Linked DNA regions of Macaca fascicularis. The protein of the gene in region 4 interacts with the protein of the main gene of each other region in a pairwise test. Links are inferred from orthologs where the notes say so. Each region holds a gene or a part of one and is shown on either strand. Other genes may lie near its edges.

What was found.
Region 1: the proteins of GRB10 (region 4) and GIGYF2 interact in a two-hybrid assay, tested with the Homo sapiens proteins (2 studies listed by BioGRID). The link is inferred for Macaca fascicularis from reciprocal best matches to the Homo sapiens genes GRB10 and GIGYF2.
Region 2: the proteins of GRB10 (region 4) and RAF1 interact in a two-hybrid assay, tested with the Homo sapiens proteins (2 studies listed by BioGRID). The link is inferred for Macaca fascicularis from reciprocal best matches to the Homo sapiens genes GRB10 and RAF1.
Region 3: the proteins of GRB10 (region 4) and GIGYF1 interact in a two-hybrid assay, tested with the Homo sapiens proteins (2 studies listed by BioGRID). The link is inferred for Macaca fascicularis from reciprocal best matches to the Homo sapiens genes GRB10 and GIGYF1.

The regions. Positions count from the first base shown.
Region 1 is NC_088386.1:128,708,913-128,716,250, reverse strand, and holds part of GIGYF2 (GRB10-interacting GYF protein 2), read right to left. Parts: intron 6,573-7,338; coding exon 6,393-6,572; intron 3,026-6,392; coding exon 2,808-3,025; intron 2,716-2,807; coding exon 2,553-2,715; intron 2,466-2,552; coding exon 2,277-2,465; intron 1-2,276. UniProt on the Homo sapiens protein: Key component of the 4EHP-GYF2 complex, a multiprotein complex that acts as a repressor of translation initiation. In the 4EHP-GYF2 complex, acts as a factor that bridges EIF4E2 to ZFP36/TTP, linking translation repression with mRNA decay.
Region 2 is NC_088376.1:150,945,509-150,953,375, reverse strand, and holds the start of RAF1 (RAF proto-oncogene serine/threonine-protein kinase), read left to right. Parts: upstream 1-3,695; 5' UTR 3,696-4,000; intron 4,001-7,867. UniProt on the Homo sapiens protein: Serine/threonine-protein kinase that acts as a regulatory link between the membrane-associated Ras GTPases and the MAPK/ERK cascade, and this critical regulatory link functions as a switch determining cell fate decisions including proliferation, differentiation, apoptosis, survival and oncogenic transformation.
Region 3 is NC_088377.1:49,276,492-49,283,829, forward strand, and holds part of GIGYF1 (GRB10-interacting GYF protein 1), read right to left. Parts: intron 6,623-7,338; exon of another isoform or gene 5,785-6,622; 5' UTR 5,658-5,784; intron 5,582-5,657; 5' UTR 5,517-5,581; intron 5,375-5,516; 5' UTR 5,303-5,374; coding exon 5,268-5,302; intron 5,177-5,267; coding exon 5,047-5,176; intron 4,950-5,046; coding exon 4,854-4,949; intron 4,683-4,853; coding exon 4,571-4,682; intron 4,473-4,570; coding exon 4,364-4,472; intron 4,114-4,363; coding exon 4,073-4,113; intron 3,890-4,072; coding exon 3,719-3,889; intron 3,504-3,718; coding exon 3,250-3,503; intron 3,151-3,249; coding exon 3,045-3,150; intron 2,912-3,044; exon of another isoform or gene 2,742-2,911; intron 2,551-2,741; coding exon 2,413-2,550; intron 2,391-2,412; exon of another isoform or gene 2,262-2,390; intron 2,215-2,261; coding exon 2,117-2,214; intron 1,927-2,116; coding exon 1,755-1,926; intron 1,649-1,754; coding exon 1,482-1,648; intron 1,370-1,481; coding exon 1,269-1,369; intron 1,190-1,268; coding exon 1,064-1,189; and 9 more. UniProt on the Homo sapiens protein: May act cooperatively with GRB10 to regulate tyrosine kinase receptor signaling. May increase IGF1 receptor phosphorylation under IGF1 stimulation as well as phosphorylation of IRS1 and SHC1.
Region 4 is NC_088377.1:79,812,393-79,819,730, reverse strand, and holds part of GRB10 (growth factor receptor-bound protein 10), read right to left. Parts: intron 5,668-7,338; coding exon 5,552-5,667; intron 4,555-5,551; coding exon 4,486-4,554; intron 2,777-4,485; coding exon 2,639-2,776; intron 1,323-2,638; coding exon 1,212-1,322; intron 1-1,211.

The DNA.
Region 1 (7,338 bases), on a different chromosome or scaffold from region 4:
CTTCTTACCCCTAATAAGTGCATGCAGAATTTTCAATTTTTATTCTCTCTCTAGCCCTAAACTCTTCCCATCTAGCTACAGTCCCTCATTCACAACTGCTCTCTGGCCATCTCCACTTAATTTCTTCTCATCAACACCTCAGAATTACTGTTCAAAACTGAATTTATTCTCTTCCCTCCCCAGTGTGCTCCTCGACTTCCACTCTATGGTGAATGGCACCCTAATCCTCTCAGGCTCTTTGGCTCTTCCCTCTTCTTTTCATGAGAATGGCACCATAATCCTCTTATAATCCTCTCTGGCTCTTGCCTCTTCTTTAACCTGATATCCAGTCAATGACTGAGTCCTGCCAACACTTATTTTAACATCTCCTCTGCCACAACTTCCCTTTACAGGTGTACTACTACCTACCCCATAGTGACTGCTCAGGAGTCTAAGTGGTCAGAGTGAAGCCGAACTGTCATCACAAGATAGTCTACACCCCGCTGTCAAATCCATGTTCTAACCATGTTTCCCAATATCCTCCTTTTCACACTTCATATTTCATCAAATAAAAACAAGAGCTGATTTCCTGCCCAAGCCTGGATCAGTCCCACTTCTTCACTTCAGCTTTCACTGCTCCCTAGTACTGGAATGCCTTCTCCCAATTCATCTAGCTATACTTACCTCCAAATTCTACTTACTATTCCAAGACGTGTTCAGAGACCACCTACTTCCTGAAGTATCCCAAGAGTCTGCCAGCAGTGAACCCTTATCTTACTTTGTGCTCTGGAATAGTGATACACGCACGCTTTATCTCCCCTACACACTATAAATCTGGAGTTTTGACCTTTAATGTACATCTCTGAAGCCGTCTCAGAATATGCATATCTAGACTTGATCCAAGAATCTCCTGAATAAGGCTTCAAGCATGTTTATTCAAAAGAATGTACCACAAGTAGTTCTGGGGCATATCCTACTACAAATCAAACTGTCTCAAAGATATACCAGTCTCACAGTGCCTGCTATGTAGAGTACAGATTCAAGTACTTGCTGAGCTACTCAAGAAGCTAAGGGCAGGAGGATCACTTGAGCCCAGGAGTTCGGATCCAGCCTGAGCAACATAGCGAGGCCTTGTCTCATTTTTGTTGTTGTTCGTTTTGTTTTTAGAGACAGGGGTCTTGCTATGTTGTCCACGCTGTTCTCAAACTCCTGGGCTCAAGTGATCTCCCCCATTTCAGCTTTCCGAGTAGCTGGGATTACAAGCACATGCCATCACACCCAGTGAATCTCATCTCTTTAAAAAAAAAAAAAATCAGCTTTGTTCTAGACATTTAAAAAATTGAAAAATTCTTGGTTTGAGTTCTCAAAGTATCAGTCTACTGGGAAAAAAGGTAATAAACATCTTTATGATACTATAATGCTATGTTAGAAATAAGGCTGATTATTTAAGAAAACAAAGGAAGAAGACACCTACCCTAGTCTGGGGGCTTTGGATGGAAGAGAGTTTCAAGAACAGAGAAAACGACGCGCTAAGGTATGAACCCTAGAAAACAGGAGATATTTCAGGACCTAGAAGGCTTTGAGGCTGGTGAGTAGAATGTGAGGGAGGTAAAGAGGCTGGCAATGAAACTGCACAAAGGGAAGCAGATGCCAGATTGTGCAGTGTCTCATATGTCATGTTAAAAGGTATGAATTTTTACGGTAAATGAATCAAGCAACCCTTCAACGTCAGGCATTACAATGACATTTTCTAATATGTACAAGAAGAAACATGGAAATGAGCATTAATATTGCCTAATAAAGTGTATGAGCAACTTAAACCAATACATTAACACTGAAAAAGAGATATATTTTAAGCTTATTGTGCCACAGATTCATATATGTTCTCTTCTTGGCCTCTTTTAGAACAATGGCACTTTGGTGTGTCATCTGGTAATTTAAGCTGGGCACATAATCAGTCAACACATGAAAGGAAGGTAACTGTCTGATATGGGAATCAAACTAATGCAAAGGATCTGACACCCAATTCACTAGTAATGACACAGTGGCTATGTCATAACACCTTAGGACAGGAGATTCCAGAGCTCCACCCTTGCAGATTCTCTGTTTTGGTAAATTCTGAGACGGACACATAAGTGAGAAGCCCTCCTTGACTGGGTTTACTGGTAAAATAATCTATTCTGATAATTCACCCACTAAAAGCAGTTCTAGGAGGCATAAGTAGAAGCCTATCTTATCAATGATCACTGGCCTCAGCAGAATCCTATTTTAGCTTGTCTATTCCCACAAATACATACCATCCGCTCTGCTGGGCACTTTGGCTGGTAGACTATTTTCCATCCGAGTCTCCTCTTCAGCTTTTTCCGTTTGCTCGGTTTTTGGTTCATCTTTCCTCTCAAACTGTGATGCTTCCTGAGACTGATGGTCTGAAGGAGTGCCTGGTCTAGCAGATGATAATGAGGTCTGGGGAGTTTCCTCACTAGCTTCTGGAACACGAAGTAATCTTAGTTGAACTTAGGAAAGTTTTGGTTTGATGGAGGAAAAAAAAGGTAAAGGGCAAGAAGAGGCCTTACCAACTCCTATTCTATCTGTTTTCTCTCCTTCTTTCTTATTTGTCTTCTCAGGTTCTTTGGCCTCTTCATTATGGCTACCCTCAGAGTCAGAGCACTCCTCCCCTTCGTCCACAGGCCGGAAGTCCATCTCCTGCTCTTCTGGAATAGGCTCTTTCTGCACTTTCTGTAGCAAGAGAATAAAATCAAAGATCAACAGCAGATTTGGCTTTGGTATAAGGTTAATGTTGGTCATGACATTTAAAACACATTTCTTACTTTTAGAGAGAGGAATGCTCCAGATGAGTCAAATGTGCCCATTTCTTCTTCAGCATCCTCTAAGCACCATTCGGGCAAGCTATCCCTGTCATCATCTATGCTCCCACTGCCAGAGCGAACCCTTCGGTAACCCCTTTCATCATCTCTATCTCGAAAATCAAACTCGAACCTTCGACGTCGTTCCATGTGTTCCCGCCAGCCTGCAGAACGAGGGCCATCTGAGATGAGAAGGAGGACACAAACCTTAGAAAAGTTTTATGACAGTATTTGAAAAAGAAAATCAGGAATAGAAAATAAAGGAGAAAACTACAAGTGACTGCAAACTCAAATGGACTGACCTAGTAAAGAGAACATTAGGCAACTAAATGTAAGTTCAGAGTTCAGAGTATATATACCATTATGAGACGACAACAGTACTTAAGTACTGAGCCATGCAACATACTCTAAAGCTTTAAAAGATAAATCTAAAATGAAGCACATTTAAAGGACACTGTATTCCAAGTAAGCACTTTTAATAAGTCCTAGGTACTTGATTAAAATACCAATTAGCCGCCAAATCCTCATCCAGACTTAATGCACTAGACATCCTTCCATACTGAAGATTATACCTTCCCTTTGCCCAATCTTAAAGCATTTTCTTTCTTCCCATGAAAATATCGTTTATGGATAAAATCAGCTCCCTGTGTCGATTTATAATATCAAACTCATCATGCCTATTTATTAATGCCAGGTTCCCACTTGTAATTCTGATTCTCCCCCCAAAATTCATGAAATTTACAGCGCTGAAAGTTGTCACAGAGATTTTATAAAGTCCACTATCCTAATTTTATAGTTTAAGGAGAAACTAAAACTTTGCCAGCAGAAGTAACTCGCATATGGCAAAGTAGAACTAAAATCCAATTCTGTACCCTCTGCTGCTTGTTCCACAATAACATGTTTACTCTCCTTTCCCTTCTTTCTCATCTCTTAATTCTCCCTATCCATATAACACTCCCAGGGACATTCCTAAATCTACATTTCCCAACAGAAAAAAAGACTGCCTAATAATAAAAGATCCTACTTAAGGTATTTTTCTAAAAAAAAAAAAAGAAACGGAAACTCTTGTTAAAATCTGACAGACCTAGACTCTGACAGAGTCTTAAAGAGTCTTAAAAAAAAAAGCAGGCTTTAACCTATTAGAATTTTCCATCCTTGACTGCATTCTCTGTGGGGGATAAGAAAAAGAAATGTGGCCAGAGCTAAATGTTCTCACTATTGAGACAAAATTTGCAAAAACCAGCAATCTAAAAATCAAATTGGAAAACAAAGGGCAAAATGTTAAAAAGCCAAATACAGGTAGCATCTGATAAGCCACTCACAAAAAAAATATCTTATTCCCACACTCCCATCCCTTCATGTAACAACAACAAAACACTATTTACTAATTCCTATGAGAACTAAGGAATTTTATACCCAGACTGCTTACATGGAAACCTTGAGCCATTATGCGAAAAAAGTCTTCATGATCAAATGAATTCCAGAGCCCTCTGTACTGCTTTCATTTCTAACAGTCTAAATGTACATCATGATAGGAATCTATCCTTCTAGGTACCTGGCTCATGCTTCCTCTTACTGAGTTTCTTAGGTTCAGCTCCCAGACTGGATGCCTTCCTGTCCTTAATGGTCCCAACTCCATACGCATCCAGCTGGAAGCCCTATTTTATATCCCATAATGTTATCTTACCAGTAGTTCATAAAATTTTACTCACAAAACTAAATACAGCAAGTAAGACATGTAAGGTACTTATTAAGGCCGACTGCTGATTTACAGACCCTGCATCTAAACTAAAGTTGGATCCTGTTTTCATAAAGATAAAAGCAGTTAAAATACTTTAAAGTTTTACTCAAATCTTAATAAAAGATTAACCATAAACTAACAAATGTTAAGAGTTAACATATGAAAACTGCTATAATCAGGCTATACTTTGAATATACTGGGTTTAAAAAGTGAATAGTATTCTTTATTTAAAATGCATTTACACTGTTTTTTCAGACCCATATATCTTTGTACCCCCCAAACTATCTTTTAAAAATATATGGATTTCAGCCACAGGTGTGACTGAAAAAACATATATGTATATGGATTAAAAGTTCTGGAAGATACACAAGTTGATGACAAAAATGACATGAAAGTCAAATATTAGGGGGAAAAAAAGATTTAGAAAAGATGAGAAAATAATATATATCCAAATTCTAAGTTGTTGGGTGGGAGGTACTTTGATAAACTCCCTTTAATAGAATCAACATCAGACATTAGGGCTCAAAAAACATTGTTCATCTTCCAAAACATTCACCTTGTTTGTTTTTGACCAGCTGGAATTTCGTTTCTCTCTCAACCCAGATCCTATCCATTCTTCACTGAATGCTTGTTGGGAACATAGTCTACAAACCCTCTGCCTACGGACAAGCTCAGCATAAAATGCCTTTTAAAGAACTATAACATTTGGCTCAGGACACAGACTAATGAAAATTGTCTAGATCTTGTGATGTAAACAATGCCCACTAATGACAGAAAACCCACCCAAGAGGCAGCCATGAAGAGTTGGTATAAAAGCATCCTAACCCTACCCAAACATTAACTTCAGTATGTTTCTATCTACCTACCACTTCCTTAAAATACTCTGAATGCCTGTTATAATGTCTACCCAGATCTAAGCTAGTGGTTTTGCTAATAACTTGATTTTTAAAAGTGAAAACAGTTTACATTATCATGATTTCCTGTATTAAAGGTAAGCCTCTCTGGCACATGGTTGATAAAATACTGTCATACACATGAAATTCATAGGGCATGCACATACTTTGTGTGCTTCAGTTTTGCATGACCCCACGATTGGAACTACAGTTGCATCTGATTATCATGAGGCATGGAATCAGCACTGTGGTAGGATATGAACTTTAACACAAAGCACTAGTGTCTTCAATTACCAGCATATCTAATGTCCAAGAAGAACAGTTTGAAGCATTCTTAAGAGACAAACAGAAGAACTTTAAAAACCACTAATCAGTATTATTCTCTCTCCTTCTTCTAAAGTTAGAAGGACATAAGAATGAACTTGTGATTATGTTTCTGACCTAGCTTTAAAGCTTATTCTTCAAATAAGGTTAAATCACATTTTCAAGGGGAAAAAATGAAAGAATAAACCCTTTCTTGTTAGGAAAAACACCCACTGTTGGGGAGGGAAGCACATATTTCAAGTGTATAATTTTTATACATTTATAAATCTTAAAGAATGCTGAAAAAAGATTCAAAGATTTAGAGGTAGACAAAACTGAATGAAACCCTCATTTTTGCAGTTGAGAGCATGTGCTTCCCATTAAACTACACTATTTGCCCCAGAAAAATAGAAAAGTGATTTCAATAAACTGAACAGATGTAGCAGGAAATTTTTATGTTGCAATTTTTTCTAGTAATAAAACTGTGACAGCATAAATAATATGAATCCTCCCCCACCTTTTTTAAGCCAGTTTATCTTTTCCATTTAATCCCTATTTCCATCAAATTTCCCCTTATTTCAGTCCCTATGGACCTTTACTCAGAATTCTTACCAGGACTGTGAGGTCGCCACCTCTCTCCATCCCTCCTTGATCCAGCTAGTCGCCAACCTCCATCTTCATCTTCTCCATTTTGTTCCTCTCTAAAGATGCGCCAATTTTCACTTTCTGAGCGTATAAATTCATGCTTTCTCCCTACTGATGCTGGTCCACCTTCCTCAAAATTTGGTCTCCCTATAAAGAAAATAATATGGTAAGTAACCATGAGCCTCTGCCAGTAAAGATTTTGAAAACAAACTTCACAGTTCAAATCAAGCTTTCCTGCAAATGTGTCCATTTCAATATTCAGGAAAAAATCACTAAAATAACTGTGGGTATTTGCATATATTATTAGACACATTTCTTAAGGCTGAATGTTCACAGACTGTGCAATTATTTTTTAACAAAAATATTATGTACAGTTTTTTTTTTTTTTTTAAAAAGCCATGCAATGGAAAGTCCATCTTCCTACACAAGACCCTCACAGTCATATTCCCCAGAAGTAACCATCATCAAGTTTCTTATAAAGTCTTCCAAACACTGTCTGTGGGTACACTTACACATGTATACATAGCTCCCTCATCCACACGCACAAACGCCACCCTCTGGATGTTATAAATGTTGTTTTGTTTGCTGTTTTCACTAACACTGTATCTTGCCAATCCCTCCTTACCAGCACATACTTTTTAAAATTATACGATATTTTTCATTATACAACATACTTTATATAACCAACACCTACTGGTGATTCTGCCTAAACATGGTATCTGTACATGTCAGGCCCTCTTTTATTCCAAAACAGATTATAAACTGAAAAGTAGGCCGCATGGTGGCTCACACCTATAATCCCAGCACTTTGGGAGGCCGAGGAGGGCAGATCACAGGTCAGGAGTTGGAGACCAGCGTGGCCAATACAGTGCAACCTCGTGTCTACTCAAAACACAAAAATTAGCTGGGTGTG
Region 2 (7,867 bases), on a different chromosome or scaffold from region 4:
GTTCAAGGAATTCTCCTGCCTCAGCCTCCCGAGTAGATGGGATTACAGGCATCTGCCACCATGCCCGGCTAATTTTGTATTTTTAGTAGACACGGGGTTTCTCCATGTTGGTCAGGCTGGTCTCAAACTCCCAAACCCAGGTGATCCGCCCACCTCGGCTTCCCAAAGTGCTGGGATTACAGGTGTGAGCCACTGCGCCTGGCCTATTATTCCCATTAAAAAAAATCCCCCTCATGGTATCCACATTCCACACCTTCTAGTCTTTCTTTCTTTCTTTTTTTTTTTTGAGACGGTGTCTCGCTCTGTTGCCCAAGCTGGAGTGCAGTGGTGTGATCTTGGCTCACTGCAAGCTCTGCCTCCCGGGTTCACGTCATTCTCCTGCCTCAGCCTCCTGAGTAGCTGGGACTACAGGCACCCGCCACCACGCCCAGTTAATTTTTTTTTTTTTTTGTATTTTTAGTAGAGACTGGGTTTCGCCATGATAGCCAGGAGGGTCTCGATTTCCTGACCTCGTGATCCACCTGCCTCGGCCTCCCAAAGTGCTGGGATTACTGGCATGAGCCACTGCGCCTGGCCAGTCTTTCTCCCACATTTATTTTTATGTTGGTCCACATACTCCTGTCATTCTCACTTTGTTTCATTTTTCTTTTCTTCTTCTTTTTTAAGAGACAGGGTCTTGCTATGTTGTCCAGGCTGGAGTGCAGTGAGGCAATCATAGCTCAAGCTATCCCCAACTCCAAGTGATCCTCCCACCTCAGCCTCCTCCCTAGCTGGATTACAGGGGCATGTCACCATGCATACTAATTTTCTTTTCTTTCTTTTTTTTTTTTTTTTGGTAGAGATGGGGTCTCATGTTGCTCAGGCTGGTCTTCAACTCCTGGGCTCAAGTGAACCTCCTTCCTTGGCCTCTCAAAGTGCTGGGATTAGAGGCTTTGGCCACCACATCCAGCCTGAATCTTATTATTTATATTTTCTTTTAGTCTCCCATTACTAGAAGGCAGGGATTTTGATTGCTGTTAATTTTCCAATATCCAAAATAATGTGTGGTACCTAATAGGCTCTCAATATCGAAAAGGAATAGTGCACATGGCATTCTGTAGTATTAGGTTGGTATCTTGTGTTCCTGTGTTTGCATAAATAAGATCATACATAATGTTCTGGTTTTTTAACTTAATGACTTTTTTTTTTTTGAGATGGTGTCTCACTCTGTCGCCCAGGCTGGAGTGCAGTGGCTCCATCTCCCCTCACTGCAAGCTCCGCCTCCTGGGTTCGCACCACTCTCCTGCTTTAGCCTCCCGAGTAGCTGGGACTACAGGCGCCCACCACCACGCCTGGTTAATTTTTTTGTATTTTTAGTAGAGACGGGGTTTTACTGTGTTAGCCAGGATGGTCTCCATCTTCTGACCTCGTGATCTGCCCACCTCAGCCTCCCAAAGTGCTGGGATTACAGGAGTCAACGCGCCCGGCTCAGCTTAATGGCTTTTTTTTTTTTCTTTTTTGAGACAAGAGTCTGGCTCTGTCACCCAGGCTGGAGTGCAGTAGCGCTCCATTGACCACACCTGCCCAATTTTTTTGTTTGTTTGTTTTATTTTTTAGTAGAAACATGTTTCACCATGTTGGCCAGGCTGGTCTCAAACTCATGACCTCACGTGATCTGCCCGCCTCCGCCTCCCAAAGTGTTGGGATTACAGGCGTGAGCCACCACGCCCGGCCATGTCTTTTTTTTTTTTTTTTGGAGACAGTTTTGCTCTTGTTGCCCAGGCTGGAGTGCAATGCCACGATTTCGGCTCACCGCAACCTCCGCCTCCCGGGTACAAGCAATTCTCCTGCCTCTGCCTCCCCAGTAGATGGGATTTCAGGCATGCACCACCACGCCCTGCTACTTTTGAATTTTTATTTTTTAATATTTATTTATTTTTTCGAGATGGAGTCTTGCTTTGGCTGGAGTGTAATGGTGTAATCTCGGCTCACTGCAACCTCTGCCTCCCGGGTTCAAGCGATTCTCCTGACTCAGCCTTCTGAGTAGCTGGGATTACAGGCACACGCCACCACGCCCGGCTAATTTTTGTGTTTTTAGTAGAGACGGGGTTTCTCCATGTTGGTCAGGCTGGTCTCGAACTCCCGAACTCAGGCTGCCCACCTCAGCCTCCCAAAGTGCTGGGATTACAGCAGTGAGCCCCCGTGCCCGGCCCTTTTTGTTGTTGTTTTAAATTCAGTAATTGGCCGGGCGCGGTGGCTCAAGCCTGTAATCCCAGCACTTTGGGAGGCCGAGATGGGCGGATCACGAGGTCAGGAGATAGAGACCATGCTGGCTAACACGGTGAAACCCCATCTCTACTAAAAAATACAAAAAATTAGCCGGGCGAGGTGGCGGGCGCCTGTAGTCCCAGCTACTCGGGAGGCTGAGGCAGGAGAATGGCGTGAACCCGGGAGGCGGAGCTTGCAGTGAGCTGAGATCCGGCCACTGCACTCCAGCCTGGGCGACAGAGCGAAACTCCGTCTTAAAAAAAAATAAAAATAAAAAAATAAAAAAATAAATAAATAAATTCAGTAATTATATCTAGTTCATTCTTGGATGGATGACAACCCAGATTGGATGTAGCAGCGTTCTCTTAACCAGTTTCCTGTTTTTTTTTTTGAGACGGAGTCTCGCTCTGTCGCCCAGGCTGGAGTGTAGTGGCCGGATCTCAGCTCACTGCAAGCTCCGCCTCCCGGGTTCGGGCCATTCTCCTGTCTCAGCCTCCTGAGTAGCTGGGACTACAGGCGCCCGCCACCTCGCCCGGCTAGTTTTTTGTATTTTTTAGTAGAGACGGGGTTTCACCGTGTTAGCCAGGATGGTCTCGATCTCCTGACCTAGTGATCCACCCGTCTCGGCCTCCCAAAGTGCTGGGATTACAGGCTTGAGCCACCGCGCCCGGCCCAGTTTCCTGTTAATCTACATTTCACCCCCAGTATTTCTCGAGAATGCAAATATGGCATTAAACATCTCCACACATAACTTTTTGTGTATATGTTTACTTATTTCTCTAGAATTCATGTCTAGAAGTGAAACTGCCGGGAGGAAGGATACATACTTTAAAAATGTCCAAGTTCCACTCTGATAGCGCTGAGAGGGCACACAACAGGTTTCAATGTACCTTGGATCAATATTATTAGTTTTTCTAACTCTTTGCTAATGTGATGGGGGAAAAAAAATGAATCCCCAATTTACACACGAGGAAAAGACCGCTTAAGGTTCAGGGACTGTCCACATAGCTGTCAAGTGCCAGAGCCGTAATTTGGCATTAAAGTGTCCGACTCCGGAGAGTCAAAGTTGGACACTGTGCTCTGTGTCCTGGGGCACGTCTGATGATCGCTGGGCCTTGCAATGCTGGCAGGCAGGCCTTCCTCTCCCCTTCTAGGCCTCTGGCCACTCCTGGCTGGCCGCAAGCCGGCTCTTCTCGATTACCGAGTGCCCCTCCTGAGAATAAGCCAGCATCGCCTAACCTCTTCAGCTCCGAAATGGCGGCCACCAGATCGCGAGCCCACGCCCCGGGGGCGGGGCCTGTGTTCAGGCCAGAGCGATGGATGCCCGAGCCAAGTTAGAAGTCGACTGCCAGGAGGGCTAGCGCAGAAGCGGAGAGCCGGTGGCGTCGCAGGTCGGGAGGACGAGCACCGAGTCGAGGGCTCGCTTGCCGTGGCCGCCCGAGAGTCTTAATCGCGGGCGCTTGGGCCGCCATCTTAGATGGCGGGAGTAAGAGGAGAACGATTGTGAGGTGGAAAGGGTTTTCTGCTGCATTCCTTGGGCCCCGAAAAGGGTCAGCTGGCCGGGCTTTGGGGCGCGTGCCCTGAGGCGCGGAGCGCGTGTGCTACGATGCGGGGGCTACTCGGGGCTCCGTCCCCTGGGCTGGGGACGCGCCGAATGTGACCGCCTCCCGCTCCCTCACCCGCCGCGGGGAGGAGGAGCGGACGAGAAGCTGCCACCGGACGACAGGACGTTGGGGCGGCCTGGCTCCCTCAGGTAGGTGGCAGGGGCCGGGTCGTGGATGCCGGGGGAGCCGGGCGGCGGGACTGAGGGACCGGCTTCCAGGGCGAGCGGGCCTGGGTGGCGCTGATGGAGCGGCCCCGCGGCTGCCGGGCGGAGGGCTTGGGCCAGGCCGCTGTCACCCCGGTTAGCGTTGGGCGGGGGCCCCGGAGTCCGGTGTCATGGCCGGCGAGCCTAGTTCCCACATCCCACTCAAATTTCCTTGTGTTTTGCGGAAACGTGCCAACGCCACCCCTGTGCCAGTGCGCATTCCTCATTATTTGGCAGTGGGAAAATCCGCCCAGAGTTGCCCCATGTCTGTTGTCACTTGGATGGGCCAATTCCTTTTCTCTTGGGCCGTCGATTGTGGGACCCGGGCTTGCACGCAACCTTTCTCTGGATACTTCAGTCAGGTGACACCCTTTTAGGGAGGACGTGAGGAATCGGGTAAGAGAGGAGGAAACTGGCCAGTGCCCTACCACAAAGTCACAGGGTTCTCTTCTTGGATATCAGGACTAGCCTTGGGTATCAGGACTCTGTGGGTTATTAATGAAAGTCTTGAGATGCTTATAGAGGATTGGCCTCAGGACGCTTTGGAACGAAGAGCCAGGGCTGCCTTTTGTGTGAAGCGAGAGCCGCCGGGACGCTTCAGCTCTGCAGCTGCTGAGGCTCTGCGAGCGAGTCGATACCCAAGAGAGAGGAGTTTGGACGTCGTGAGAGGCGAGGCGGCCGTGTTCATTCATTGTTCTCTTTCTAGGGCTCTGGGTGTGCCCCTGGTATTCATTCTGTGGTGGGAAGAAGGATAGGAACTTCTGTGTCTCCTTGAGGTGTGAACGGGTTCTAGGGGGTCACTTAATCTAAGTAGGAAATGATTCAAGGCACGTTCATTGAACGTTTCTGCTTGCCTGGTCCTCTGTGGGCTGAGTGGAGAGATTCTGCCCTCCCTGCGCTCCTAAGGCGTGAAAACAATGCAGTGTGATAAGAATTGGCTTACCAAGTGTTGTGAGGATTTAGAACAGTTAGTTTTCCTTGGGGAGGAGTTGAGGAAGCTTCTATACTCGAGGAGACTTAAGCGTCGAGTTTTGAAAGACCGGTGAGTAAGTGCTCACCAGGTGAGGAGGAACTCAGGAAACAGCTGGTACAAAGGCTTAGAGACATGTGGGAGTTGGGATGAGTTTGGGGAGCAGCAAATTGCCTGGGGTGCAGGAAGGAAATGGTGAGAGATGAGAGAAAAATAAAAGTTGCTAGAATTGTGAGGGGATTTTGTTGTAGATGGTGAACTAATTGAATTTGGATTATTGTATATGATTTGCTGAATCTTTATTCTTGCTGATAGTTTTCTCCCTTTGTCGATGTTGAAGCTGATAGTGATTGAAAAGATTTAGTTTGTTAAACTTAATGACTTTTTAGTTTTTTTTATTTTTTCAGAACAATTCAAACTTTTTCTTTTCTTTTTTTTTTTTCTTTTTTTTTTAAAGGAACAGGATCTCACTCTGTCACCCAGGCTAGAGTGCAGTGACATGATCGTAGCTCAGTTGCAGCCTCTAATTCCTGGGCTTAAGCAGTTCTCCTGCCTTTGCCTCCTGAGTAGCTGGGACTACAGACAGGTGCTACCACACATGGCTAATTAAAAAAAAAAAATGAGTAGAGATGGAGTCTGACGGTGTTGCCTAGGCTGGTCTCAAACTCCTGGGCTCAGGTGATGTTCCTGCCTCCACCTCTCCCTCCCAACGTGCTTGCTGGAATTACAGGGGTGAGCCACTGGCCAGGCAGAACTTTTTTTTTTTTTTTAATAATAGAGAGAGGGTTGCACTGTGTTGGCCAGACTGGTCTAAAAAGTATGCCTTCAATAGAACTCTTGGGCTCAAGTGATCCTTCAGCTTCAGCCTCTCAAAGTGCTGAAATTACAGGTGTGATCCACTGCGCCTGGCCAGCAGAACATTTAATGTTTTGCACTTACACAGTGGTGAATGAATTGAACTCATATATTCCTGGGGATTCTTGCAAAAAATTCTCCTAAAGTTATACTTGCTCACAAAAATGTTAACTTTATAAATGTAAAACACTCTCCTAATATTTGTTTTATTATCCTATTATTTTTTATTTTTTTGAGACAGAGTCTCACTCTTTTGCCCAGGCTAGAGTGCAGTGGTGCGATCTCGGCTCACTGCAACCTCCGCCTCCTTGGTTCAAGCAGTTATCCTGCCTCACCGTCCCGAGTAGCTGGGATTACAGGCACACATCATCACGTCCGGCTGATTTTTGTATTTTTAGTAGAGATGGGGTTTCGCTGTGTTGGCCAGGCTGGTCTCGAACTCCTGACCTCAAGTGATCTGCCCACCTCGGCCTCCCATGGCCTCGCTGGAATTACAGGTGTGAGCCACTGTGCCTGGCCTAAATTTTAAATATAAATAATGTACTCCCCAGTCTTACAGAAATTGGACGACTCTAGAAAACAAACATCCAAAAAATGTGTAGGATGTATTTTTAGTTTAATAAGTGTATTTTTTAAACTATTTCTTGGTATTGACTTCTTGGATAACAACCTGTTATAAAATCTTTATCCCCATAAACATAATTTTCCTAAAATAGGTATAATACTGTGATTAATGTTTATGCTAAAGTGACTATTACGGAATTAACAGACTTCAGTTGCAGTTCCTAAACCTTACTTTCGTTGTGATGATTATATACCACTGAAGAACATTCAGGATTATTTTGACTTGTTTTTACCCTTATCACTAAAGGGCTAAGCTGTTTAAAATGCAGCATAAACATTTGACCCAGTTGAATGCTGGGATACTTGGAAAAATAAACCTGTTACTGTTTCTGTACTAAAGGCTTATCTTTTAAAGATATGTGGTTTTTTTTTTAGTGCAGTGGCATGATCTTGGCTCACTGTAACCTCTGCCTCCTCCCGGGTTTAAGCATTCTCCTCCCTCAGCCTCCCAAGCAGCTGGGACTACAGGCACCTGCCACCACGCCTAGCCAATTTTTATATTTTTAGCAGAGACGGGGTTTCGCCATATTGGCCAGGCTGGTCTTGAACTCCTGATCCACCTGCCTTGGACTCGCAAAGTGCTGGGATTACAGGCGTGAGCCATCGTGCCTGACTGGTATGTGGTGTTTCGTGGTTATAAATTATAGTGGAATTCCTTTGTTAAAGTCTTGTCAGTAGTTGTAAAAACATCAGCCAGTTGTGGGGGCTCATGCCTGTAAGCCCAGCACTTTGGGAGGCCGAGGCTGGTGAATTGCTAGAGCTCAGGAGTTTGAGACCACCCTGGGCAACATGGTGAAAACCTGTCCCTACAAAAAATACATACACAAAAAAAGAAAAAATTAGCAGGGTATGGTGTAGTATGCCTGTAGTCCCAGCAACTTGGGAGGCTGAGGTGAAAGGATCACCTGAGCCCAGGGAGGTTGAGGTTCAGTGAGCCATGTTCATGTCACTGTACTTCAGTGTTGGCGACAGAGACCCTGTCTCAAAAAAAAAAAAAAAAGTGTGCCTTCAATAGAAGGCTTGAGCATATTTTATGGGATTTGGTTTAGCTGAAAAAAACAGTGAGAAGCAAATTAAGCTGGTAATTTCTGATGAAAAGTATCTAAAAGATGAAGAACGTTAAGCATCAAGTATTATATAACAGTTGCTCTGAGACTAGTTGCTTTTAGTTTATTCCATTTGTTTGCTCTGAAGATTAAACAACTTCTTGTGAGTTAAATTTGACTTTTCCAGAAGCACTGGAATATTTAGGAAATGAAAAATACAATTGATAACTTTAAACTACTATTTCAGGTAGTCTATTAGTAATAAATGTATGATTCTACATTTAAATTTCAGGTAAATCTTTGTTAGTAACCTACTGC
Region 3 (7,338 bases), about 31 Mb from region 4:
TCCCTATGCCACCCTGGAAACCGCATGGGGGGGTCCTGGGAGGTTCCTGGCCTGCTCACCACTCGGTGGTTGGGGGCCTGGGCCCGAGCTGGCTCCCGAGGTGGGGGCTGTTTGTGCAGCTGCCGCTCGCCCTCCAGCTGCAACTCCAGGAGTGTCTTCATGGACAGCCCCTGCTTGGCCAGGCCAGCCCAGAGTGGGGGCGGGGAGCTGGGCGCGGGGGGCACGGGGACTGCCTGCTGCTGCTGCTGTAGCAACTTCAGCAACAGCTCCTGCTGCCGTACCTAAGAGGGGGACACAGTGAGGGGACCTGACGAGGGCTCTCTCCCCAGCCAGCTGAGGCTCGGGAGCACCCACCTGCTTGCGCCGAAACAGCTCTTCCTCCTCTTGCCGCCGCTTCTGCTCCTCCTGCTGCTGCTGGCGGCGCTTCTCCTCCCGGCGCTTGCGTTCCTCTTCCTCCCGCTTCGCCCTGAGCTCCACTTCTCTGCGCTCCTGGAACTGAGACCAGTGGCTGATCAGGGGAGAGCTGCAGGGGACAGCTTGGGGCCTGCCTCGGTCCCCCCTTTCATTCCCAGGGCCTCAGCCCCAGGATGCCTACTCACTTTATGTTGCAGCTGGAGTTGTTCTAGAATTGGACCCTGAGTCGAAGAGTTAATTGGTATGTCCCAAAGACTGGCCTCACCACCTGCAGGGGGCAGGGGGCAGAGGCAGCTGCAGGTGGGCACTTGGGCCCACTGATCCAGTCCAGCCGCAGCAGTGGGCTCCCCAGCCAGAATGGCAACGAGGGGTGCAAGGGTGGGGAGCAGACCCCAGACCCCAGTTCACCCGGAGACTGCCTTGGGGGTGGGGGGCCAGGCAGGCCACACACCTGACTGTGATGAGGCTGAGGTATGTACGTCCCAGAGGCGGCCCGAATCCGGCACCGACAAGGACCGGCTCATCGTCGGGAGCAGGTTCTGGTCCCCGCCTCTGAGGAGCAAATCGTGGATTCTCAGGACCCCAAATCCATCTCTGGTCTGCCCCCGTTCCCTACCCTGTATCCTGAGGGCTAGCATGCGCCACGCACCTGGGGGGTTTGAGCGCCTGGAGCTGCTGCAGGAATGCCGTGAGCTGCTGCTGCTGCTGCTGCGGCGGCGGCGTCAGGTCCCCTAGAGCTGCCTTTTCTCGAAGCGCGCATTGTGGGAGCTGGCGGCTGCAAATGGGACAGTGGAGGTGGTGGGCCACAGAGCCAGCTCCGGGCCTTCTCCCAACCCACCCCAGGCCCCCCATACCTGCTGACCAGCTGAAGAAACTGCTGGTGCTGCAGCTGCTGGTACAAGGCAGCCGCGGCCAGCTCCTGCTGCTTCTTCAGCCGCTCCTGGTCCATGTTTCCCTGCTCGGGTGAGAGTTCGGCCAGTGCCCGCAGCAGCGAAGAGGGGACTCTGCTGGACTCCTGCCCACACCCCTTACACCCTGTCCCTCCATGCAGGGGAGAGGCGGCTCACCAGCAGTGGGGGTGGTGAGGGCCCTGGGGCGAAGGGCACACGGCCCCACATCTTGATCACCTCGCCTAGAGGCTGGAAGCCCTCATCACAGCCCCGCTTCACCAGCAGTGACATGGAGAAGTAGCCAGCCTGGAACCACTCTGCCATCTCCTGTGTCGTGAAGGGGCCTGGACAGGGAGCAAGGGAGCAGGAGAACCACTGTGGTCACAGGGTAGGCCAGAGACACCCTGAACCAGAATGGCCCTGAGCAGCCCTCCCATCCCACACAAGTACCTTGGATCTCGCCCTGCGGATCCTTGTAGAACCACTTCCGGGCAGCTCCATGGCTGAGCGGGAGGGCAGTGGCGGCTGCAGAATGGCGTAGGCCCTGGGTCTGCATGGCAGCTGTGAACTGCTCCTCCTCCAAGGAGCTGTCCTGCAGGGAAGCCACCAGCTTCTCCGCCTCCTGGAAGCCCAGGAAGAGAAGAAAGTCTCAGCTGCCAATCTCAGCACCATCAGGATGGGGATGGAGCTTGGGATGGGGATGGAGCTTGGGATGGGGATGGAGCTTGAGCTGGGGCCGGGGCCGGGGCCAAGCAGGTCAGGTGGTCAGGAGAAGTGTGAAGGGTCCCTCCCACTTTCTCAGGCCCCCACACCTGCTGCAGGTGCTTTAAGCCTTCATCATCCTCCAGATCTCCAGGTGGGCCAGCAGGGGAGCCCACCCCAGGACTCAGCTGGATCCCCCGAATATCATCTGGAAGGCATGAGGACAGGAGGTGGAAGGGAGGGCGGCAAGGAGACAAGATAGCCTCCGCCCACCCTCACTCCAGAACACTGAGCTCTTGCCATGGCTCCTCAATGTGAATGCCCTGTGTGCCCACCCCCACAAAAGGGGACCACTTTCTCTCACAGCCCCAGGGCACCCGGGAGGTAGGTCATCCTCCCTTCCTACCTTCGGCCACTGGGGGCTCTTTCTCCGCAGCTTCGTCCCCATCCCCGTTTGTCCCCCAGAGTGGGCCCAGGGTGGGTAGTGGGGACGGGGAGCTGGACTTCTCCTCCTGAGGAGGCAGTGGGGTCAGCTCCTTCCCACCTAGAAGAGGAAGATGGCCAGAATTCAGAACCAAGGGCTGGGCCTGCCACGCGAGTGAGTACAAGCCCTTGAGTGTGTGGCTGGACCCACGGGTCACCCTCCCCCGGGCCAAGTCCACCACTTCACTTGGGTCAACTCAACTAATGGTGGAGCGGGAATGCGGTGCCCTGACCCTTGCCTCCATGTGCCAGACGCAGCAGGAACGTATCAACACTGCACAACACCATACAACCCCGCAGACTTCACCCCAGGTTCTGCAGTTTCTTCAATGGACTTTCAAAGGTCATTCTGATTATGCCTGATTTCTATCTGGTACACTGCCTTGAAGACATGGCTCTGCTAACCCCTGGTTCCTCCCCACCTCTCAACACTCTTCTTCCACTTCTAAGTAGCCTGATCCTACAGGTAGGTGGGCAGCAAGTGCCCAGCCTGGCAAAGAACCCCCATGCCAGTCTGGCCCGGCCCCAGGCCCGCTGGGCACCTCACAGGCTCACCCGCCTCAGGCCCTTCCTCCTCTAGCCCTTCGGAAGGCTCCTCCTCCTCCTCCAGCCCTTGGAAGTCCAGCTCCTGCTCCTCAGGAATGGGCTCCTTGGGGCCCTTCTGCATGGGGCAGGGGTGGGGGGCAGAGAACAGCTGGGTGGGTGAGGAGGAAGAGGACCCCAGCAGGGCAGGTTCCCACCCTCACCTCCTTGCAGATACCTTGAGAGGCAAGAAGGCCCCAGAGGCATCAAAGGTGCCCATTTCTTCATCCTCATCGTCCAGGCACCACTCTGGGAGCCCATCCTTGTCCTCCTCAAAGCCGTCAGGCACTCGGCACCGCCGCAGGTGAGAGCTGCCTCCCCCTCCCCGCCCCTCCTCTTCACCACACCCGCCTCGATCCCCTCGCAAATCAAATTCAAACTTGCGCCTCCGTTCCCCATGTTCCCGCCAGCCAGCAGAGCGGGGACCGCCATCTGCGCAGGAAAAGTCAGGGAGAAGAAGAGTGGGTACCCAAGCAAAGCTGGCGGCCCTCTCTGCTGCAGCTCATGGAGCACCTCCAGGGCTGCTGTCCCAGCCACTCCCACACCAGCCAGCCTCTGCTACCTCCCAGGGGCTACAGGAGCCCACCCTCTCATGACAGTTCCTGCTCCCCACTGCCCTCACCAATGCTACTGGGCCCCAATCTCACCAGGGCTGGCGGAGCGCCAGCGGTCGCCATCTCGCCGGGGCCCTGCCCCAAGCCTCCAGCTGCCCTCCTCCTCCTCCTCCTGCTCCTCCCGTAAGGAGCGCCAGTTCTCGCTGTCTGAGCGGGCATGCTCCTTCCTTGGGCCAGCCCCTCCCTCCTCAAACCCACATCGTGCTGGGAGATGGAAGAGAGGGGCAGTTATCAGAAAGGCAGCGTGGTACCTGGACCCTCAGGAAACGTGGGGAGCCAGCTCCAGGCCCTCCTGCCCCCAGCACCTCTGAAATAAACACCCTCAGACTGGGCCACCCATCTTGATCCTCCCCGCTGCCCCGGCCGCCGCCCTCAGCAACCTCGTACCTCCATCCCGCCTTGCTGACTTCTCAAACCGCCTGTCGCCTCTGCAGGAGGGGAAACGTGTGGGTCAAAAACAGTACAGCCTCCCCACCCACCCTTTGCGACCGCCCCATGCCTTGTCCACTGTGCCCTGAGGCAGTGGAGGGAGGGAGGGAACAGAGGAAACCAGGGGTCAGGAGAACAGGGATCTCTGACAGGGCTTATCTGGTAGGCCTCTGTTACCCTCTAGCAACAGGAACCAGGCCTCCCTCCCTGGCCTGCCCTGCTCTATGCCACACCCCCTCCTGGCCCCACCTGTCATCCCAGCTCTGGCTGCGCTGGATCTCCCGGGGGCTTCGTCCAAAGGCCCCATCACCTTCTTCAATGCTTCTTTGGTAAAAGCAGCTGTCACCGCGGCCACGGCCTAGATAAGAGGCCAGATGCACACTGAAACCTGCTGCACGTCCTCAAAGTCAGGGGCCCTGATCTGCCTGCCCCCGGGACACGCCATCACCCCTCTACCTCGGCTCCGCGTGCTGCCCCTGCCTCGGGAGGTGCCAGTCAGGGGGGGGCCAGCCCCTTTCCCCATCAGCCTCAGCACAGCCACGCTGTTCACTGACAGGGAGAAGTTTCTCTGAGGAGGGAGCCAGGGGCGGGAGTGAGGACCCAGGTACCTGACCACCCCCACTCCCACCCCACAGCACCCTCCCGGCCTGTCTCCCCAGCACTGGCCCCTCTCCTCCTAGCCCGACTCACGGCCACCCCTCCCCGGCCCCCGCAGCCTCAGCTCCTGGCCTGGCCCCACCTGTTCCTCCTCAGTCAGCGGCTCCAGGGCCAGGGGCTGCAGTGGCTCGTCCTGCAGCACCGCGGCAAACTCCTTGTCCTGCAGCTCTTCTGGGACCTGGCGGTGGGGTGGGACAGCCAAGACACCACATGCTGCCAGATCCCCTCCATGGGCAGAGACCACCGCCGCCAACAACCCTCGTCCACGCACCCACCTTGTTCTCCTTGACGTAGAGGGCCAGCATCTCCTCTCGCCCATAGCGGTAATCAGCCAGCTTGTATTTGGGCATGGCAGGGGATGGAGGTGGGGAGGCCACGCTGCCGCCCCCAGACAGGGCCCTGAGCCTGGACACGACACAGAGAGAAGAAGACAGGTCAGGGCAGCCTGACTGTGCTTTCCCGAATCTCCACGGCAGCCGAGGCACATGTGACTCACCACTCAGGCCCAAAGTTGAGTGTCTCTGCTGCCATCGTGGGGCTGGGCGTGTTTTCTGAGAGGCCGGGGGTGGGGAGGAGGGGACCTGGCGTTCGCTCTCCAAACACCTGTGGGGGAACGGAGCCATGGAGAACAGCACACGAAGGAGACCTTTCAAGTGCAGGGAGGACACCCCGGGGTACATCCTGGTAGGCATGGCAATGCGCCCCGGACTAGCTGGTGGGTCACCTGGGGTCTAAAAGGACTCACCTGAGCCAGCCACGTGGCCACTCACACCATGAGTTACCCAGAGATGAGTCCAGACGGTGAAAGACCTGGGGGAGGCGAGGAGATGGGAAGCTCGAGTCCTTCCGGCCTCCGTGGGGCAACCTCCCTCGGCCCAGGGCTCACCTGGCAGCCTGGCCCAGGAAGCAGGAGGGCAGGGGCTGGTGCTGGAGTGAACGAGGGTCCCCAAGCCACTGGGAATTGGTCTGGCCTCCGTAGAGCCTGGGAGCGACCTTTACATCTGGGAAAGACCCTTAAGGAGAGCAGGGGGGAGGAGATAGGGTTCAGGACAAGGCTCTGCTGGCAGCCCTGCCCTGCCCTGCATGACGGGAGAGGTCCATTCGCTGGGTGGTATCTCTGGGCATCAGCACCCTCACCACCCTCTCTGGGAGGCTGAGACAGGAGGTGCAGCGCAGAACTCAGGGAGGGAGGCAGCCGAGGCCAGGATGGATGTTCAGGGCAAAGATAAAACAAAAACAAGCAAGCAAGCAAAAACTCACTAGAGCCACAAATAGCTTACAGAGAAAAGGTCAGTTACGGAGAGAAGGATTAGAAATAAATCTAGGAGCAAAATTCTTTCCTTTATGAAAAAAATCACAGTTGGCTGCTCAGAAGCTCAAATCCAGGGGCTTGGTCTGGGGAGAAACCCAGTGAAAAGGAGCAGGAGGTGATTCTAGGGCCACAGACTGGTACATGACGAGGCTCCAGGCAAGCCTGAGCCAAGGCACCTCGGGCTGGTTTCCCCCACAGGAATCACACCCAGACCACCGCCCCCCAATCAAGAACGGAGGCTGAAACAACCAAGCCACCAAGGGAACGAGGATCTCAGGATACCGGCTGGGAAGCAGCCTCTGGCACCATCAGGTGGAAATAAGGTCAGGGCAATGGAGGCTGGTGGGGGTGCAGCGGCAGCCTGTTCCTCTAAGGGACGATGGAGGGGACTCTCAGGAGGAGGCGCATCCCTGGGGACCCCGGCAGAGGACTCAGGCGGGTGGGCGGGGTCCAGGCGCTGCAGAGCTGTTGTCACTGGCTGGGAGGGAGGCTGGCCCGGCTTGGTGCTGCAGCTCCCATCAACTCCAGGACGCCACAGTCTGGGAAAGAAGAGGAAGGGGGTTCCACCAGGATGCTAAGGGGGAAAGGCCATCAGCCCCAGCTGAGCCAGCAGCCCATGACATGCCGAGGCCTGCTCAGAGTCCCAGCACCCCAGGGGGAACCACAGGGCTCAGAGGCAACCCAGGGCCAGGGTGGCCTCCCCTGGGGCCTCTCCCTCCTCAGCCTCGGGTGGATGCTCCGGTGGTGGTGTGCTCCACGCCACGCAAAGCCACCAGCCTGTCGCTGACTGCAGGTGGCCTCCTAGAGCAATCTGGGGACTGGATGAGACTTGAGGACATGATGCTAAGTGAAACAGACCAGCCAAAAAAGGAGAGTTAGACCTTACTTCTCTTTCATGAGGTCTCTAGAGGAGGCACTCACTGAGGGAGGAAGGTAGAAGGGCAGTCACCAGGGGCTGAGGGGACAGGGAACTGTTGCTGAAGGGCCCAGAGCTTCAACTGAGGAGCAGATCCTGGGGCCGCTGGTAGTCAGGGCCAGACACCAATGTGAGTGTACTCAGTGCCACAGAACAGCACAGTTAGAGACAGTTAAAGTATCCAAATTTTGTTGTACATTTTACCACAATAATCACTTTTTAAAAAAACCTTTAGGGAACAAAAGGTATCTGGAGATAACCACCGCATACCTAAGTTTTCCCCACTCCAAGAAAAACACCCCACATTCCTTCAAATCAGCCTCAGGAGAGGCTGTTTTG
Region 4 (7,338 bases):
ACAGGAACCCCCTGACCTCAGACTCAAGAAACAATGCTGGACACGGCCCCAGCTCTCCCTCTCCAGAATCTGGAGGGGTTGAGGGACAGGTGTGACTACCCTGTGCTCGGCTGATGCTATGAGAGAAGCAAGCAGAGACTGCGTTTGCAGACATGCAAGCATGGCTGGTGTGGGCTGGTGGGAAGGGAGCGTGCCCGCTGCTGCTCATACCTCCAGCCCCGCCTGAGGCTGCCTTGGGCCTCTAGCTGGTGTGAATTAGACGCCTATTACTTACAACGGCAAGAGTATTCCCTGAGCAAGGTATGAAGTGATATTTTGGAAAGAAATTTTCTCCTAAGGAGGGGCTCCCGGTGTTCTGTGTTCTCGGGATGCGGCTTGGGCTATGGCTGGTAAGTCAGCCTACGGCGCAAACTCCAAGCACAACTATTCACTGGCTACTGGATGTGGGCAATGTGGCCAACTTCCTATCCCACAAGGGGCTATGAAGATTAAATAAGATAATGGATGTAAAACTGTTAGTGGAACATCTCATGCACAGTAAGCATTCAGTAAATATCATCTACCATTATGATTATTAATACCATCACAACCTCATCAGGGGAAGAGGAGTGGGCTCTGCCCACAGGTGTGTGCACATGTGTATGTGTGTCTACGTACATGTGTGGATAATGTATGTGTATGCACACAGGTATATATGTATACATGTATGTATACACATGTGGTATGTGCACACAGATGTGTGTGCACGCGTGTGTGTGCATGCAGAGGGTGGGCCGCATTGTGTCCATTCCTATCTGACTGTCCCCACGGCCAGAGGCCCACACAGAAGCCATCAGCTCACTCAGAACCATGCAGGCAACCCAGGTGACAGGCTGGAGGTCCTCTCCCTTGCCCTGCCTCCCCTTCCAGCTACTAGTACTGGGCTACAGCCACAGCCCACCCTTTGAAGCCAAAAGCCACCCTCCCTAAAACACTGAGCCCACTGGCCACACTGTCTATCCCTGTTTGCTTGTCCTTGAGCTTCTGAGCTACTCAAGGGCTGACAGCAGCAAGTGTACAATAGATGTTTTTACAGGAATGGAGGAATCCAGTGTGAAACTATGTTTCTGTTGAAGACAACAGAAGCAACAATCAAGTGCTGGGCAAGAGAAGAAGTCAGTTTCCAGTGGGCTGCTGAGCATGCGCGCCGTCTGTGGACAGTTCGGGTGTACCTTTATGCAGAGCCCGTGGTCTGTAGGGGCGCTGTACTGCTTCCTGCCGGCGATCAGGGAGAAGATGTTGCTGTCCTCCAGGTCGGCCAGCAGCTGCAGGTGTCTGGGTTCCTGTGACAACAACGGCCAGGTTAAAGTCTCAAGCCCAGCAAAGGGCAAATGTGTTCACCTCTGGTAGACAGAGGGCAGTCTCTGCACACTTATAAGCACTTTCCCCAATGACACTTTACATGTTACATATGATTATTACATGAGGTGTGATAAGTGCTAAACTAAAACCAAATTCACCCAGTCTCACCCAAAACACCCACTTCCCCAATTCTCAGACACACAAGACTGTTGGAACGTATTTGATACTTCTGCCAAATCAAAGCCCCATGACCAGATATTCAAGATAAAAAGCAGAAGAAAATCTATAACCCAAAGGTCAGAGTTAAGAGCACAGGGCCTATCTGCCTTTGGTTTGCTGTGCATCCAGAGTCCAATCGTACCCTGGGTTTTCCCACTGGTAGCTTGTCCCACCCTTCTCCTCCTCAACTCTCCAGCCTAGCTCTGTTTCCTGCTCTAGGAAATAATCTCCCGACTTCAGCACACACGAGGACTCTGAGCAGGCCACACAGCACAGCTGAGAGGTCAGGACGCTACCATGCCCTGTGTCAGACCAAAGCCCCTCTCTGCAGATGACCCCCCTTCTCTCTGGCCCATGCGTCAGCAGCCGCTGACTTCCCAGAGTTGGCCTGATGCTCAACACCTGTGCCAGGGTCCCGCCAGCTCCCTTTCCCCTTTGCTGGCCAGAGTAAAAGAGACCGTAGCCCTCAGATGGTAAGTGCTCAGCCACGTTGAATGGACATGGCTCCTGCCACAGGGTGTATGTGGACAGCACGAGAAGAGAGCAGGCAAGAGTGTACATGGGAGCGAAGGAGCCTCCAGCCTAAGCCCTCAGTGCTACCAGCTGTCTTTTGAGGGCCTGCAGCTGTTTTCCATCTCCCACCTTCTTCTCACTACGGATACATGCAAACCTGAAATTTATTTCATAAAATATCTGATACATAAAGTTACACTGGCATTAGGGTGGCAATCATCTATCAAACATCTTTACAGCTAGCTTAAATCCCAACTTATGGGAACTAGGCCAGTCTCTGAAGTGATAGGGCAGCCAGGGAGGTCTGCTACCAACCCACAGTGGGGGTGGGGCTGGGCAGGTGGGGTTCTTAGGTATGTATTATTTATTACCTAGTTTCTGAGGGAGACCAGGAAACCTGTGACTCCAAGTTTAGCTGTTGCACAATTAGCTTATTAAGAAGTTGTCCTGAGCCTGGAGGAGTCTAAGGTGCATTTAAAAATGAAGCCTAGGTTTACTCTGAGGACTCCCGGGGGCAGTGACGGGGGCAGAATCAGGGCTGGTGGTGGCAGGTTTTAAAGCTCACCTTTGAAGTTCCCTTGGTGGAGCAATAAAGGCCAGATCTCCGCAAACACACATACAGCTTTTTCCATGATTTCTTTCCCAGCTCTTTCACATGCAAAAACCCTTGAATTTCAGGACAGCTACTGGAGTTCAGAAAATTCTGTTGAAGAACAAATTTTAAAAATTACATAATGCTAATCTAAAATAATTAAAGCAGACATGTTATTAGCATAACTGACATTTTCTGAATTATTAAAAGACTCCTTTTTTTGATCAAACTGAGCGTGTTCTCCTTTCCAAAGTCTTAAAATCCCATCTCAATTGGTGCTGCATAGAACATAATTCGTATTTAAACACATGCAAGCAAATGGACCTTTCTAACACTGGTGATAACACAAGTCACGAATTTCCCTGTAAGAGAGTGCACTGAAGGATCCAGTCTGATATCAGACTGAGGGCAAGAGCAAGTGCCATGACTGAGTGAGTGGGGCTCTGGGGACTGAGAGTGAGCATGTAGTGGCCACTTTTACCCAGGCACCCCTCCAGTCAAGGGTCACATAAAAGGTGTCATTTGTCTGCAAGTGATGAACCCAGGTGCAGGACATCCTGGTGATGTCCCCCTGTTCCACTTAACTTTTCCCACAGGCAGCCTTAAGAATAAAGCCTTTATCAAAACAAAACAAAACAAAACAAGAAACTATGCTTTTCATCAAAGGGAAGACAGGCCGAGGGCCAGGTCACGGAGCAAAGTTGGGGAGGTGATGTTGGCAGGTCTTGCTACTAGACTGGGAGGGGACAAAGCTCTTTTCCCCCAGGTGGGAAAGGCACGTCGGACAGAGCCCTAGTGCACCTGGGTCAGTCCTTCCTGAGTCTCAAGAGACCACAGCATATCTTCACAAAGCACATGAGTCCTCCCAAAGTCAAGGCAAGTTAAAACAGAATGTGCCATTTCACTGTTCACGGTGTACAGGTGGTACCTTAGCACTGACACCTCTCACCAGAACAGACACATGCTATGGTCAGAAGGGCTTCTGAAGACACCACCGGAACAGAGCTCTGAAGCTCTTATCTTTTAGATGCTGAAACAAATTTGGTGATAACAACATAGCAAAAGAAGGGCTTATGAGCAGAATTCTGTAGGAACTATATTTTAGTAGTTTCTGTTACATGTAATATGTCACTTGGATATTGTTGGTGGCCTTAGGAAATGATTCATTCTTTCACTTTTGACATGTACACAGGCATATTTTTAGGGTGTAGCTGTAACATTCCCATTCCCCGCTCCCAGCTTCCCTGGAGGAGCGTGTGTGACAGCTGAGCACAGAGGCCCTGGTGGCTCCCTCCACTGGAAGAGGAGGTGGGGAGAGACCAGATTTTCTCAGAACAGACTTTAGGACAATTAAAGCAGGTTTCTTTATTTGTAATGTATGGCAAGTTACTTGTAAAAGTCTGTCGTGGTAACCCAATCATCTTTTACTATAGACTCAGCGCTTCTGCAGAGATTTCCAAGCAGCTGGGCGGTGGCCTGACCTGGGACCCCTGCTCAGAAAGGAGCTGGGGAGCCCTGAAACTGGGGTTTCTCCATGCACCCCCCGGGCCACACTCAGCAGTGGCATCACTGGACTCTTCTAAGTCAGAGCAAGGGCATTCTGTGTGTAAGTGCCTGTTTGGCTCAGCAGGAATCCAGCTACACACAGATTTTCCAAGTAAACTTTTTAATTTCTGGTTACTCTAAACCCCCTTAAGGGCCAAAGTTATAAATGATGAAAGATGCAATCTCTTCAGGTTTTTTACAATGTTGCCATTCAGTTCCAAGAGGATTTCTATTCAGAAAGTCTATTTCAGCAGAGGTCTATTTTGGCCCAGTACCTGCAAAAGCTGGCTTTGACTGCCATTTGACTGCTGGCACCAAGTAACCATCTGTTCTGGGAAGAAATTCTAAGAAAATGGGAAAAAACAAATACGTGAAAGGTTAGTTTCAAAGTGAGGGAAGGTATGTCATATAGATAAGTAAATTTTAAAACTATTCCTACCAATATAATTATGTACACCTGTATTTAAAATGGCAGTCCTTTTTATTCTCCTATCACACAGAAGAAATAGCTCCTTCAAAAGGTTGTATTTCATTTCCTGAAATGTTGGGTACGAGTATGGAATACCACCTATGTTTACTAAGGGATGCATGTCTCACAGCATACTCCATGGCAAAGAGTGAGATAAAGAATTCCTGAAACTAAAAGGTAAGCCCAGTCACGAGAAAAGCCTTTTCTGTTGCATTCCCCAAAAACAGTCTTCAAATTTCTCACTCTGGAATAAAAAAGCAGCTAAATTATCAGAGTCAGAAATGACCCTGGGTCTTCTCCCCAGCTGACACAGCTCTGCCCCATGACTCAGGACGACAGTAAGTACCCCAGGAGCTAGGAGGTGCCCTCCCTATCCCGGCCTCTCACAGGACAAGTGCCTTCTTTCCCAAAGAAAGAAAGGGGAAGAGAGATCAAGGTGACCAGCTCAAGACACCACCAATCGCACTGATTTCTCTAGTCATTCTTCCACGTATGATCACAAAATGTGTTTGCTGTGTGCAGAGAATAATGAGTTTTTCTTCTGCTAAGTGTTTGATCAGTTTAACTGAGAACTTTCAAAATAACAGAAAACGCCCAGTCTCCCCCAGCTCCTGTCTTAGAGACTAACCCCCTTTACACTGTGTCTATTTGAAGAAGGAGACCTCTATCTTCAGCCAGTCCCAGGCACATTTAGTGAAGCACGAGACTGGGTTTCAAGCAAGGATTGCTTCATTAAACTGCAACTCTGACTCTCAAACCGATATGCTACGTCGTGCCTCTCAGTCACTTTCTAATCTGATACTATGAAACCCAAGTATAAACTTCCAGATGTCAAGAGTCCCAAACCCCAAACCTGAAGACGTAAGACTCACCATGGGATTTTTAAAGAACTCGTATTTTGCATAATTCTTCCGGAATAGAAATTTACTCTCACCGGCCATGGTACTCTCCACTTGGACCACCAGCTCGTGGTCTTCCAAGCACCTCTCTGCAGGGGCAAAGTATCACATGTGAGATGCAACAGGTGGGAAATTCATGGTAGCTTTACAACCAAATGCAAGATTTGTTCAACTTTCTATTCTTTAAACATTATGAATAGAGACGAGGTCAGGAAGGAAACTAAATTTAAATCTCTCTTTTATGTACTACCAAATTCATAAGAGGTCTTAAGATACACAGCATGAGGAATTCAGGTCAATACTTATTTTTATATACTTCTTTTGAATTTGGCATCAACCAGATGTTAAGGAATGAGTCCATAATACTCTCAGCAAATGATTTTGCCCTTAAATTAATAAATTTCAATTCTTGTAAATAAAAGACTACAACAAGAAACAAAGGAGAAAGAACTTGAAAGGGGAGGATGACCAAAGAGGGCCCAGAGATGGAAGCTTTTTTTTTTTTTTTTTTGAGACAGAGTCTCGCTCTGTCGCCCAGGCTGGAGCGCAGTGGCGCAATCTCAGCTCACTGCGAGCTCTGCCTCCCGGGTTCACGCCATTCTCCTGCCTCAGCCTCCTGAGTAGTTGGGACTACAGGCGCCTGCCACCACGCCTGGCCAATTTTTCTGTATTTTCAGTAGAGACGGGGTTTCACCATGCTAGCCACGACAGTCTCAATCTCCTGACCTCGTGATCTGCCCGCCTTGGCCTCCCAAAGTGCTGGGATTACAGGCATGAGCCACCGTGCCCGGCCGAGATGCAAGCTTTCTAATGACATCAAACTTGGTTGCCAGAAACGATGGTGCTGTGTACTGTGGGAGGGGCCGTGATGCACAGCGAGACGGTACGTACATACTCACCTTTCACACTGAAGCCTGCACGCACCACATCATGGAATAGTTCTTGTCAACTGAATTACATGTAAAGGCAGGGAAAAAAACACACTCCATCCTCCAGCACCCGCTGCGGACACGTACACACGCACGCATGCACATACGCACACGCCTCCTTCACAGCATCTTCCATAGCAGCACCGTCCCCCGGAAAGGGAAAAGTCGCTTCCCTCACTGTGTGAACACAGTGGTTCCAGGTGGAGCGGGAAGAACTCAGCATACCCTGGAACAGCGTGTGCCTGCAGAGGCCGCACTGCCCCCTTTCATGACAGCTACGTCCCTTCCCAGGCACCTCCTCAGAAGCTGTCACAGGACGGTGGTGGCCACGGGAAACTAACCTTATTAAATCACGGAATAAACAAGAACAAATGTACAGCAGGGTCAAAGTGTGAACTGATGCCAAAACGGTAAAGATTAACATGCTATGGAATTGACACCAGGGCAGTTCTGTCGTCCTAAGACCCTACCCTCCTCTCCTGCAGCCAGACTGGAATCTTGAGGAAAGTGTCATCTCGGAAGGAAGGAATGAAGTTCAAGGCAAAAGCATTTCTGAGTCAAAGTGATCTAAGAATGCAGAAAAGACTTTCCGTCTACAAAGAACAACTGTCGCCATGGGCACGCATCTCCGATGGGCCCCGACTGGCATGCAGAAGCAAATTCTGGAGCTGATTCGTGCTCGGCCCTGGTTTTGACATTACAAGGAAAGGATTCCTTGGTAAAAACACATTTAAAGCCAGAGTTTGTGAAGGAAAGGAATTTTCTCCCCGTGGCTGCCAGAAAGCTCAGACTTGGCACCACCAGCAAGTGTGGAGCAGTTCCCGTTTGTCC